Caenorhabditis elegans: one gene and its partner. The protein of the gene in region 2 interacts with the protein of the main gene of each other region in a biochemical or structural test. Each region holds a gene or a part of one and is shown on either strand. Other genes may lie near its edges.

What was found.
Region 1: the proteins of C35E7.6 (region 2) and atg-2 form a complex in vitro, tested with the Caenorhabditis elegans proteins (one study listed by BioGRID).

The regions. Positions count from the first base shown.
Region 1 is NC_003284.9:6,807,197-6,812,143, forward strand, and holds the start of atg-2 (Autophagy-related protein 2), read left to right. Parts: upstream 1-1,898; 5' UTR 1,899-1,907; coding exon 1,908-2,060; intron 2,061-2,107; coding exon 2,108-2,291; intron 2,292-2,343; coding exon 2,344-2,730; intron 2,731-2,807; coding exon 2,808-3,014; intron 3,015-3,071; coding exon 3,072-3,318; intron 3,319-3,367; coding exon 3,368-3,609; intron 3,610-3,657; coding exon 3,658-4,279; intron 4,280-4,330; coding exon 4,331-4,947. UniProt on the Caenorhabditis elegans protein: Lipid transfer protein involved in autophagosome assembly and in the distribution of atg-9 and atg-13 during the autophagy-mediated degradation of protein aggregates.
Region 2 is NC_003279.8:10,815,362-10,821,552, reverse strand, and holds C35E7.6 (CABIT domain-containing protein), read right to left. Parts: upstream 4,212-6,191; 5' UTR 4,194-4,211; coding exon 3,695-4,193; intron 3,257-3,694; coding exon 2,837-3,256; intron 2,789-2,836; coding exon 2,696-2,788; intron 2,635-2,695; coding exon 2,444-2,634; 3' UTR 710-2,443; downstream 1-709.

The DNA of each region.
Region 1 (4,947 bases), on a different chromosome or scaffold from region 2:
TCTGAAAGAATCTTTTATGGGATTTTGAAATCTGATGAAAGATGGATACTTGTATCCGTCAGAATCACATTTTCTAACACCACATCGTAATGTCACCTGTGAACATGAACATGTGATTTTCATCAGCCTCCCCAACCTAGTCTATCACATCACAAAGTTCGGTCTATTTCTTATCTGTAAGGTCTTGTTATTTTCTCGTCATTATCGATTAGCAGTTTATTGTGTATCACTATCATCACTATAAAGAGCACTAACAAACACGGCTGAGGACTACTTTACTGTCACTTACTGACCTACTGAACAACGAGAGCTCGGCGAGTCAGCCCACTGTCAATAACTCTCATGAGTTGCGCACCCGGTGGGCTGCGTCTCTTGTTTTCACGCTCTTTTCACGTGTTCTACGGACCATGAGGTCCTTTATTTGGGCATTCTCCCCCGTTCATTACCAACGCTACTATTCCTCGTCCTCCTTTCATACACACACAGTGCACCACCCCATGAGCTCTCATGCTATCTCCTTATTCTGTTCTTATTCCTTCTCCGTCTCACATCGAATCCTCTTGCATTGGCAGATCTCTAGCTTGTCCGACTCTTCTTGTTGCTACTTTGTTTTCTTTGCCATAAATGGAAACTTTGGTGAATATGTAGTAACCCAACTCCATTAGTATGTGAATAGAATTTCAACACATTTTCCAACAAAAATTTACACTTGTCAGTCTTGCTCATTCATAGAAACTAAAATTTTCCTTTTGACTTTTTTGCGTATTGCAAGGAACGGAGCAAGAGAAAACGAGCGCCTGAAAATTGTAGAGCGCTGAGATGCGAGCGACGTGTTTTCCCTTTCTTCAGTCGCCTAGCTGAAAATTCAATATTTATATCAGTTTCGTTTCTCCCCCTTGTTGTCTTTGGAGCACACGCCGAGCTTGTTTAGAATGAGAATCTGGAAGAATTGTTTGTTTGTCGCCGAGTTTTTTTCTATTTGAGTTCTTTACCCCGGAAACGACAAAGAGAGCAAAATTTTGTCTTGCAAATATACGATTTATAATAATACTGAGTATTTTAACATAGCAATGTAAAATTTGGTTTACTTAACTTTCCCTTTTTCTCACTCTCAACTGTCAAACAGCAAGATCCGCTGGTGATAATGAAAACCGGTTCCACACAATGCCTGCCACTATTCAATCACTTTTTTTTTCTCCAATGGTCACCATTTCTCTTGAAATTTGAGGATCTTTTGAGACGTACCTGGGTGGGTTAAAAAGAGCAACTGTCTAGCACAAGATGCGCAGGCTCACCCTCATCCAGTTTTACTGCATCAGCTGTTTTCAGTGAGCAAGAAAAAGAAAAAGAGGGACCACGATGTCATTGCTCTTCTTCTTTTTTCTTATATTCTCCCCACTATTTCTCTTGCCTGAGAAAGCTTCCGGCAGAGCGCGTTTTCCTTTTTTAGCTGTTGCTTGAAGCGTGCATCCGTGTGAGTCTTACACAATTTTGGCTGTTTATTTCTGCACTCTCTTCAAATAATACAGTCGCCGCATTGTCCTTTACCATTTACTGTCTTCGTTCTCTCAACCTACAGTGCCGATGCCTACATTGCCTCTTTGTTCACGGCGCATCCTTCGTTTTTCTTCCCTCTCTACTTTTCCGCTTTTGCTAGGTTCTCTCCCAGTTTGATACATGTATCGTGTCTCTGATGTCAGGTGACTGCAGTTGTCAAAACCACGAAGCACCTGTACCGTTTCCATTATCGACAGTCTCTGTCGAATAATATAGACTAGTCAAGTAGAACCCACACCATACAAAAAATTTCAGTTTTTTTTTGGAATTTTTTCCTAACATTGTTCGCATAATAAAAGTCTTAATTCTTCAAACATTCTAAAAAATTATATTTTTTTTCAGTTTCACAAATGACTCTATCAACATTTAATCGAGTATGGTGCAAGGTAATGCTACAGAGATATATGGGTGCATGGCTGGACAATAATTTATCAGTGGATCAGTTATCACTCGAATTAGCAAATGGATGTCTTGAACTTGATAATTTAGATATTAATACAAAGGTAAGTGGAATATTGTATGGATTTTGTAAAATGTGGATTTTTTATAGGCTGTCAGCAATGGATTTCTACAATGCAATATTCCACTGAAACTAATCGACGGATACTTGGGGAAAATCAAAATTGAAATACCGTGGCTGAGCTTGATGACGGACCCAACCAGAATGTGCATTGAAGATTTACAGTTAACGTTTAGAGGAGCCGAAGTTATGAAAATAAACGACATTGAAACTTGTGAGTTTTTAAACAACCTTTTCAGTTTTTTAATCAGTATCTGGGTTTTCAGTAACATCGATGATTGAGAGTGTTCTGATGGGACTGAGTACAGACGACATGGCTCGAAGTGTCTACGAAGAAGTATCCAAAGAAAATAATGTTGCAAGTGAACTGTTGGGTCCAGATGATACTGCTGACAGCTTCTCTGGCTTCATTGACGCCGTTTATTCTCGTTTTTGCTTGAAGATCAAACATTTAACACTTCGATTCGAAACCGATCCAAAGAACAGATCAACTATGGCGACAGCACTCGAAATTCGTGTCGAAACGATCACATTTATGGATGAGCAGATGCGTTCTTGTGAGATGGACCACACAAATGCGACCGACTTAGTGACCACTCAACCACATGGTGTCGTCTCAACCACCAATTTGAGGAAGAATCTTACATTTTCTGGTAGGCATTTTAATTAAGGGATTATTAATTGACGAATTATTGCCTACATTTTTCGATATTTAAAATTCAAATTTAAGGTGTTACTTTCCATACCGATGTCTTCTCTCAAATCAACAATGACGGAATGGGTGACGAAGAGAATGTTCTTATTACCAGCATGCATATCCGTAGAGAAAAAGCCAAGCAGATGTCGCCAACAAAGTCGGTACAAAATTCATTACATCCAGAAATGTTTCAATCTGCCATGAGCGACATGGACGCATTTCATTCTTGCTATGATAAACGTGAGTTGTCTTTTTCTACAATAAAAATGGCTTCCAACGAATGACATACATTTTCAGTGACACAAGATTATTGCTCGCCTGATCAGCTCGAGACCTTGCGGACAGCTCCCGCCGAGCCGGAGCTTTTTTCTGCTCCAATTCAATGCGCAGAAGTTGTCGGGGATATTTCGTGTGTATTTCGGATAAAAAACGGTGCAAATGATGTCAATTATGCTGATGTCGATGAATCTAAGGTGGAAACTGATGTTTTCATCAAAGGTATTAATGTTTTTGCAACACCTTCACAAATTGAAATTGTTAACAGGTTTGTAAATATTTCTTTTAAACCCCAGTGTTAAAACTATTGCTTACAGATTCTTCTCATCCATCGTGACACCAAAAGAACTTGTAGTTCACGAGCAAGGAAAACCAATGAGTAAAGAAGATTATGAGAACATGACCAAGAACATGGAACCAAACCAATCAAATGAACCTCCAATGGCTGGCGCTTCTTTTGGCGGTAACTGGAATGTTGGAGAAGTGTTCCGAGAATTTGATGATTTGAAATCCATCAAAGAAAAGGAGAAGAGCGAGAAAGAAAAATTCAAAAGTCTAAGTAAGATAGTATATATTCAGTTCACTTTGAAACAAAATCAAATTTCAGAAGCCAGCGGAAACATCAAGGAAGAATTTACAGTGAATACGCATATTGGGACAGTTCTCATGTACATTCCTCATTGTGATTATATGTCATCGGACTACGCTCAACAACATGGAGGATATGCAAATGTGTTAAACTATCTTAAGAAAGAGTCTGAATCATTCTTCAAATCTATTCAAGGATACTCGTTTATGTCAAAGCACGGACTTGCAAACATTCGACAACAATCCGATTCATTCTACCCAAAAGATCATCTTCGAATTGTTGGTGGATCTCTTGGAATCACCTCAAGCTGTAAGCGAGTCGGAAACGTGGATTCTTTTTTATGCCGAGTTGTTGCCACTCATTTTGATATGTTGGAATATCTCACACCAGAGAGCGCTCCTGAAAACAGTACTCCTATTCGAATCGGACTACTTGACTATTCCGAGCAGGAAAACTTGGAAAGTGATCCCAACTTCAAAATGGTATTGAGCACTTCCTCTGAACAGAAAGGACTGACAAAAGTTGATATCCTGTTGGGAGCCGTTAAGACTGAACTTGACTTTTCTATTATTGACCGCATCTCAAATCTTATTGCATGCAGACCATTCTTCGATGAGGCCTTGACAAATTATGGCAACCGGTAAGCAATAAATTGTGCGGACACGCATAAAACCACAATTCTTTATTACAGAAACACAGTGCCGCAATTGAAGGACGATCTTTACTCGGATGTGTTAATTGCAGAGGATGACGTAAAGTCGAAGACACTGGTCAATTTGAAATGCTCAAATTGGCAAGTTGATCTGCGGATACCGAAAGCAGACCTTCGTGATCCAACTGGTTCCCGACTCCCGTTCTCTCAAAGACACGTGCATAATGAGTTTCTTCGCTTGGGAATCAAAGAAATTGATGTGTCGATTCCAATAGAGAAATCTGTTACCCTGATAGAAATTCTGTGCACGGAAATGATTGGAGACTTTTGTGGTGAAGGGCTTAATATTCCTAAACAACAACAACGAATTCTACATGCGTCAAAGAATGGATTCGATAAAATAAATTTGAAGCTTACTCTCTGCTCTGATGCGAAAAAACTGCCCGGTTGTGGAAGGAAAACTTCAACTAGTGGGATCCCAGACAGCATGATGAAGTCAGTGTCCGCGGATATAATGATGGCACACCCGAAAAAAGAAGGTCCGTTCTCGAAAGTTCCAAGGTCATACTGCTCTCATGATGGCGAAGAAACGGAAGAAATCATACAAGCTGGGACCAGAAAAGAAATACTCGATTTCCAAGAGGAATGTCAAAACT
Region 2 (6,191 bases):
TAATTCAACTAACATATTTTTTTGGAAAACAAAATGTGGTGAATTTGTATGATTTTTTCCTATTTGAACAGTCGTTCATCCCTGAATTTGCTCAATAACAGTGAAAAAATTAACCCAAAACCTGAATTAACAGAATGGACAAAAAAAGCTTAACCAAATGAATATTTTCCGAATTAGCCGAATTAGCCGAAAATTAGCCGATTTGAATGACTGAGATTAGCCGAATTAGCCGTTAGCCGAAAATTTTGAAATTAGCCGTTAGCCGAATTATACGTTAGCCGGTTCTCAAAAAATCGGCATTAGCCGATTTATCCGTTAGCCGAAAAAATCGGTTATCCGCACACCCCTGAATGGAACCTTTTGAACAATACGAGAATCCTTGATGCATATGAGGAGGAAAATCAATTGAAAGTGAGCGAACAATTATGTCGGTCCTTTTGGGATCGGATTCGGTTTGCTTCAAGATGGACTGTCATTTGTGGGGATTACGTTTTAAATTCTTCCAAAGTTCCCAAGATATAATATCAACCAAATGTTCAATTGCTTAATGTTAAGTTTAAGATTTTCGAAACATGCTACGTGGTGTCAAGCTGTCCTATCACGGTTTGATCTACAAAAAGTCGGGATTTTTTCGCACAACAAATGTTATTTCAGTGTGTCTGCTGAACTGCTGTCTGCTAGACCTGAAGCTTTTTATTGATGTTACAGTTTTATTACATTTAATCTGCAGGATAAATTTATTGAATCGAAAAATGTTAACCAACAATCGTGTAGCTTAGGAAGATACATCAAGATATCTACATTTTTTCACAATGTACAGGGGACTGTATTCTACAAGAGCATATGACTTCTGTGGTAACTTGAGATAACATGGATAAGGGTCAAAAGAAGATTTAAACTAACAATTCTTTTTGCACACATTCATAATGTCTCGAAAAGTGAGCAAAAAGTGTTGTCTGTTTGTTTTAGAGGGTAATATATTTTTTTGAAAAGTGGTTATACAGTGCGCGTCAATGCTATAGGACCCCCCTCATTTTTTCGATATTGGGAAACTGAAAAAATTCCATGAAAAACTTTTGTGATATTCGGATTCAGCATGTCAAAAAACCCTAGGTTTCTGTGTTTTCACGAGTTTATCATTAAAACTATAGACACACGGCAAATATTTCAAAAATTAGGCCGCGTCACTGCTATAGGACCCCTTGGGATTTTCGAAAATTTTCACTGAAAATCTCGATTTTTTGACTATTTTCAGAAAAATAAGATTAAAAACTGTTTTAAATCTGGTTATTAGTTCAATTTTTTCTGTTTTCCAAACTTCTGTAATGATCGGAATCTTCAATTTAACAATTTTCTCACATTTTTAGACGTTGAAGCTCAACGTGAAGCTCACAAGTAACTTATGAGCTTGAGCTTACAATATCTCATGAAAAACGTATTCAAGAATATTCCTGTCAATTTCTGTCTGATTCCGTTCACAAATAGTATTTTTTGTAGCATTTTTAGTGCTGAGCTTTTGGCCAGTTTTCAGTGTGCTTCTTGATTATGATCCCATATCTAAGCTATGGCTTGATTAATCTTTTGGAAAGTAGTCAGAAAATGAAGCCCATATTTTTCACCACAGGTACCATAAACGTTGCTTGCACCAAACATTTTTGGCATAGCCTACAATTGACGGAATTCATATTCTCAATTCACAGTACATTTCCAAGATTTTTTATAACCCATCGCAAACTTTTCTCACGTGTAGGCTATACCAGAAATTTTTGGAGCAAGCAACGTTTATGGTACTTGTAGTGAAAAATGTGGGCTTCATTCCCTGACTACTTTCTAAAAAATGTGTCAAGGAATAGCTTAGATATGAGCTCATAATCAAGAAGCACACTGAAAACAGGCTAAAAGCTCAGCACTAAAAATGCTGCAAAAGGACTATTTGTGAACGGAATCAGACAGAAATTGACAGGAATATTCTTGAATACGTGTTTCATGAGATAATGTAAGCTCAAGCTCAAAAGTTACTTGTGAGCTTCTCGTTCAGCTTCAACGTCTAAAAATGTGAGAAAATTGTTAAATTGAAGATTCCGATCATTACAAAAGTTTGGAAAACAGAACAAGGTTGAGCTAATAACCAGATTTAAACCAGTTTTCAATCTTATTTTTTTGAAAATGGTGAAAAAATCGAGATTTTCAGTGAAAATTTTCGAAAATCCCAGGGGGTCCTATAGCAGTGACGCGGCCTAATTTTTGAAATATTTGCCGTGTGTCTATAGTTTTAATGATAAACTCGTGAAAACACAGGAACCTAGGTTTTTTGACATGCTGAATCCAAATATCACAAAAGTTTTTCATGGAATTTTTTCAGTTTCCCAATATCGAAAAAAATGAGGGGGGTCCTATAACATTGACGCGCACTGTATAAGGGTATTTTATTAGTTTTCAGCCACTACTCAACAAAATCAATATCGACGACCATCTCGAAAGAGTCATCGCTCGACAGGCTGCTACGGCTACTGCTCCGACTAGAGGAGCTCATCGAGAGAGAATCAGATTCTGGTTCGGACACCGAATCCATTTCATCATCGACTTTTTCTTCCGGCTCCACTGGTTTGAAAACGTAACGTTTGTAGTCATTATCTGAAAATATTTCAGTTTTAGGTGAAAAAAAAAACAGTTAAAGTATGTATGTAAAACTAACTTTTCTTGACAGGATTCTCAAGTTTCTTTGCCAAAAATGGTTTCACATTATGATAAAACCAGAGGATTGCTTTGATCTTTTTGCATACAATATCTGCAAAAATCTTTTTCACATTATTAGACATTCTTCTCCTAATCTCACCCTGCGTTTTTTCAATCTCTTCAATAAAACTCTGAATTTCCTCATCACTCTCAACAATTGCCTTTTCTTCCATTGGATCAAATGATGCTGTCTCCCGATTATAATGGAATTTCTTCAGTTCTCCAATTCCAGGGGTACATCTGATACTGATTGCTTGCTCAGTTTTTGTGCTCATTGTCACATTGATAAGCTTCGCGATATTTGGCATTTCTTGCTTAATTTCGATGTCGGACATGACTACCTCAAGAAATTGATGATGATATCTATCGAATACATATTGTCCGATTTTGTTGGTTTTCTTGTTCTTAGCAATTAGAATACTGTCATGTGGTAAGAAGACACTCTTTTCCTTGACCAATGGGATCAGGTCACTTTCCATTACTTTGCTGTCCAGTGTAAGATCTTCCATTGCTGCGGTCACTGAAATATTCAATTGTTATTTCGTTTTAAAATTTGTTTTAAAGAAAATCACTCAAATCGAACCAAGATATGGGCAGAACCAATTATTGATTTTTCCACTTTTTTTTATGTTAGTCAAATGTTCATTATTTTGTTCAACTAGTAATCCAGCTAGGATTTAGAATGGACAGTTGTCCAACGCTTCTACGTGTATTTGGGCCTGATTCGGGATTTGAACGAGTACGTTTTTTATGTAGATACCTACAAAAATTTTAAACTAGAGGTCCACTTTGAACTCGAAAAACTGTTTAGAAATGCTTTCAGACGGGCTGTCAGCTCATTAAATTATTGCATTTTTTGCAGTCGGTGAAAAAATGCAAAAAAAATTCAGGTTGACATTTTTCTGCGTTTCCGTTTTTCAAATTTACTGTTTCAATTCTTTAATTTTTAAAAACTAACCATCCTTCAGTTGTGTCAAGGCTTTAATTTCAGTTGGTGACATATCCACATAATTTTTCTCAATTTCATCATAACACATTTTCAAAACTCTTCCTTCCTGGCTCATAGTGAGAACAATTGGTCTTCTTATTTTTGGGCTCGCCGCGACGAGCAAAATCTGCTTGACATTGGTCGATTTCTTCGGATCCAGATGACATTGATCGCATTTCGTTTCGTGAAAACTCAGGGTTTCCGAGTCGAAAAGATATTGGAGGTTCATTCGGAGTAAGTGGTTGTAGGCGAAAATGATGTTCTTATGAATGTGTGGGCACCATACCGAGTGATGGGGAGTCAGGTCACTGTCCATTTGAACTGGTTTACCATCTACGCAGACAATCTTCTCAAAGGCTCTTTTTGTCACGTTGAAGAAGAACTTTTCTGAAGATCCATCTGGTAGCTTGACAATGATGATCTTTCTATTTGACTCGAGGCAGTTCACAGTTTCAAAAACAACATCCATTTTTGACTGAAAATTGTGCATTTTGAAAAATGGAGAACAAGAGTAAAATTAAAAGATGGAGTAGGGAGTAGAAGCAGCGGGGATATTTCATAATTTTTTTAAATACAGTAAATTGTTTAAAGTTGGAATAGCGCCAGTGGGGTAAATGCCAAAATGACCAAATTTCATAGGAAAACGTTTCAAAAAAATTTCTGAAAACTTTGTTCTCTCTCAAAAAATGGCATTTACTCAGTTTTTGCCACTCCTAACTTTTGAAATCGATCAAAAAATTCTACGATTTTTATACTTTAATTTTGTTTTAATTATATGTGTTAAAACAATTTAGCTCTGAATTTCCTTAAAATCTCATGCTTTTCAAAAATATGGCAATTTGCTAAAACTTTGACTGGAAGTTCATGAAAATCGCCACTGGCGCAAAGTTGAATTTTTAAGATCAATTTAATTTGGTAAAATTTCAAAGTTATAGACTTTTGAGAAATTTCGAGTATTTTTGCCTGTTTGAACTCCAATAACTTTTTAATACAAATAGTTTTAACGTAATTAGAATATCAACTTATTTAGGAAAAAACTACATTTTTCGGATGACTTCCAAAATTACTAAAAGACCGAAAACTGAGTATTTGCCACTTTGAAAACTTCAAAAAATGTTTAGTGTGATTTTTTCCCCTTTATTGATTGTTTATAATTCATTCAAAGTTGGAAACCTTTCAGTTAAAAACACATACTATTGAATTATAGTCATTGTCTGTGTAATGCATATCAAATTAAACATGTCAAATCGAAACAATTTATTTTAAAACATAAAAGAGTTAAAAACAAAAAAAGAAGATTCATTGCTTGAATGCAAAACCATTATAAGAGAGAGTGGTATGCATACGAGAGAACCCCCGTGTGTAGAGGGACAGACGCAGAGATGCCAAGATGCTTGAAGGGAGTGAAGAGACCGAGGTCAACGAAGAGTGAGCGAGAGGGAAAGAGCCGTGAAAATAAAAGCGATTTGGTTGGAAAAAATGAGAGCGGATCCGAGCTTTATCACGAGGTGGTTTTTTTTTAAGAACGTGACTTCTTTGAAAGAGTCAGAAGGGATTTTCTATCAACCTACTCATAATAGTTCAACTTTCTGGCCAAAATTTTGATGGCTTTCAGTATGGTTAGAGTTAGGTAAGCAATTTAAAGGCTTTCAGGAAAAGCTTATCTTTTTGTAAAAAATATCTGAAATTCTGAAATCACCAAAAGAAATTTCAAATTTTCTAAAATTATTGCATAATATTCAGGTAAGCGTAAACATCCTAAAACCCACAAAAAACGTTACAGTTTTATTTCAGTGGTGGAAACTCATAATTCAGATTCATTTTAGATTTGGAAGTGGAGCAAAGAATATTTTTAAACGATTTTAATATTTTAATTCCGTTTTATTTGTTTGCATTTCACCATTTAAAAAGTTTAAATCTGCATCAATTACTCAAAAATATGTCCAGATTTTGGAAAAATTTGCCTATATGCCAAAACTTTTACTAAAATTTTGGAATATCTAAAAAAATTGGGAATGGTTATAATGTGATGTTCAGTCATATTGGACTATTTTCCAGACTACATAGATATAAATTAGATATGACAGAATTATGTTCCAAATATTTGTATTTAAATGTTTAAGAAAAATTGCTGTAGATTTCTCAAAAAAAATATTTAAAATATATGTACTAAACCTCTATTGCTTTAACAATATAAATAGTTTTTTAGGCTCAATTTAAGGTATCTTTGAAGGTTTGATAGATCTAAATCGTAAAACACTTTTCAAAAAATCGGTTCAAACTCTTTGCTACAGATAAATCAGATATCATACTACTGATAAAATCATTGAACAGCATTATCAAAAAAGGGTGCAGCTACTGCTATCTCGATATGAAAAGGTTATTTGTGGAGGGGGGCAACCAAGGCGAGGTCAACTGTGACGTCACACCTCTTTTACGCAATCGTTGGCAGAGGTAGCACAGTCAA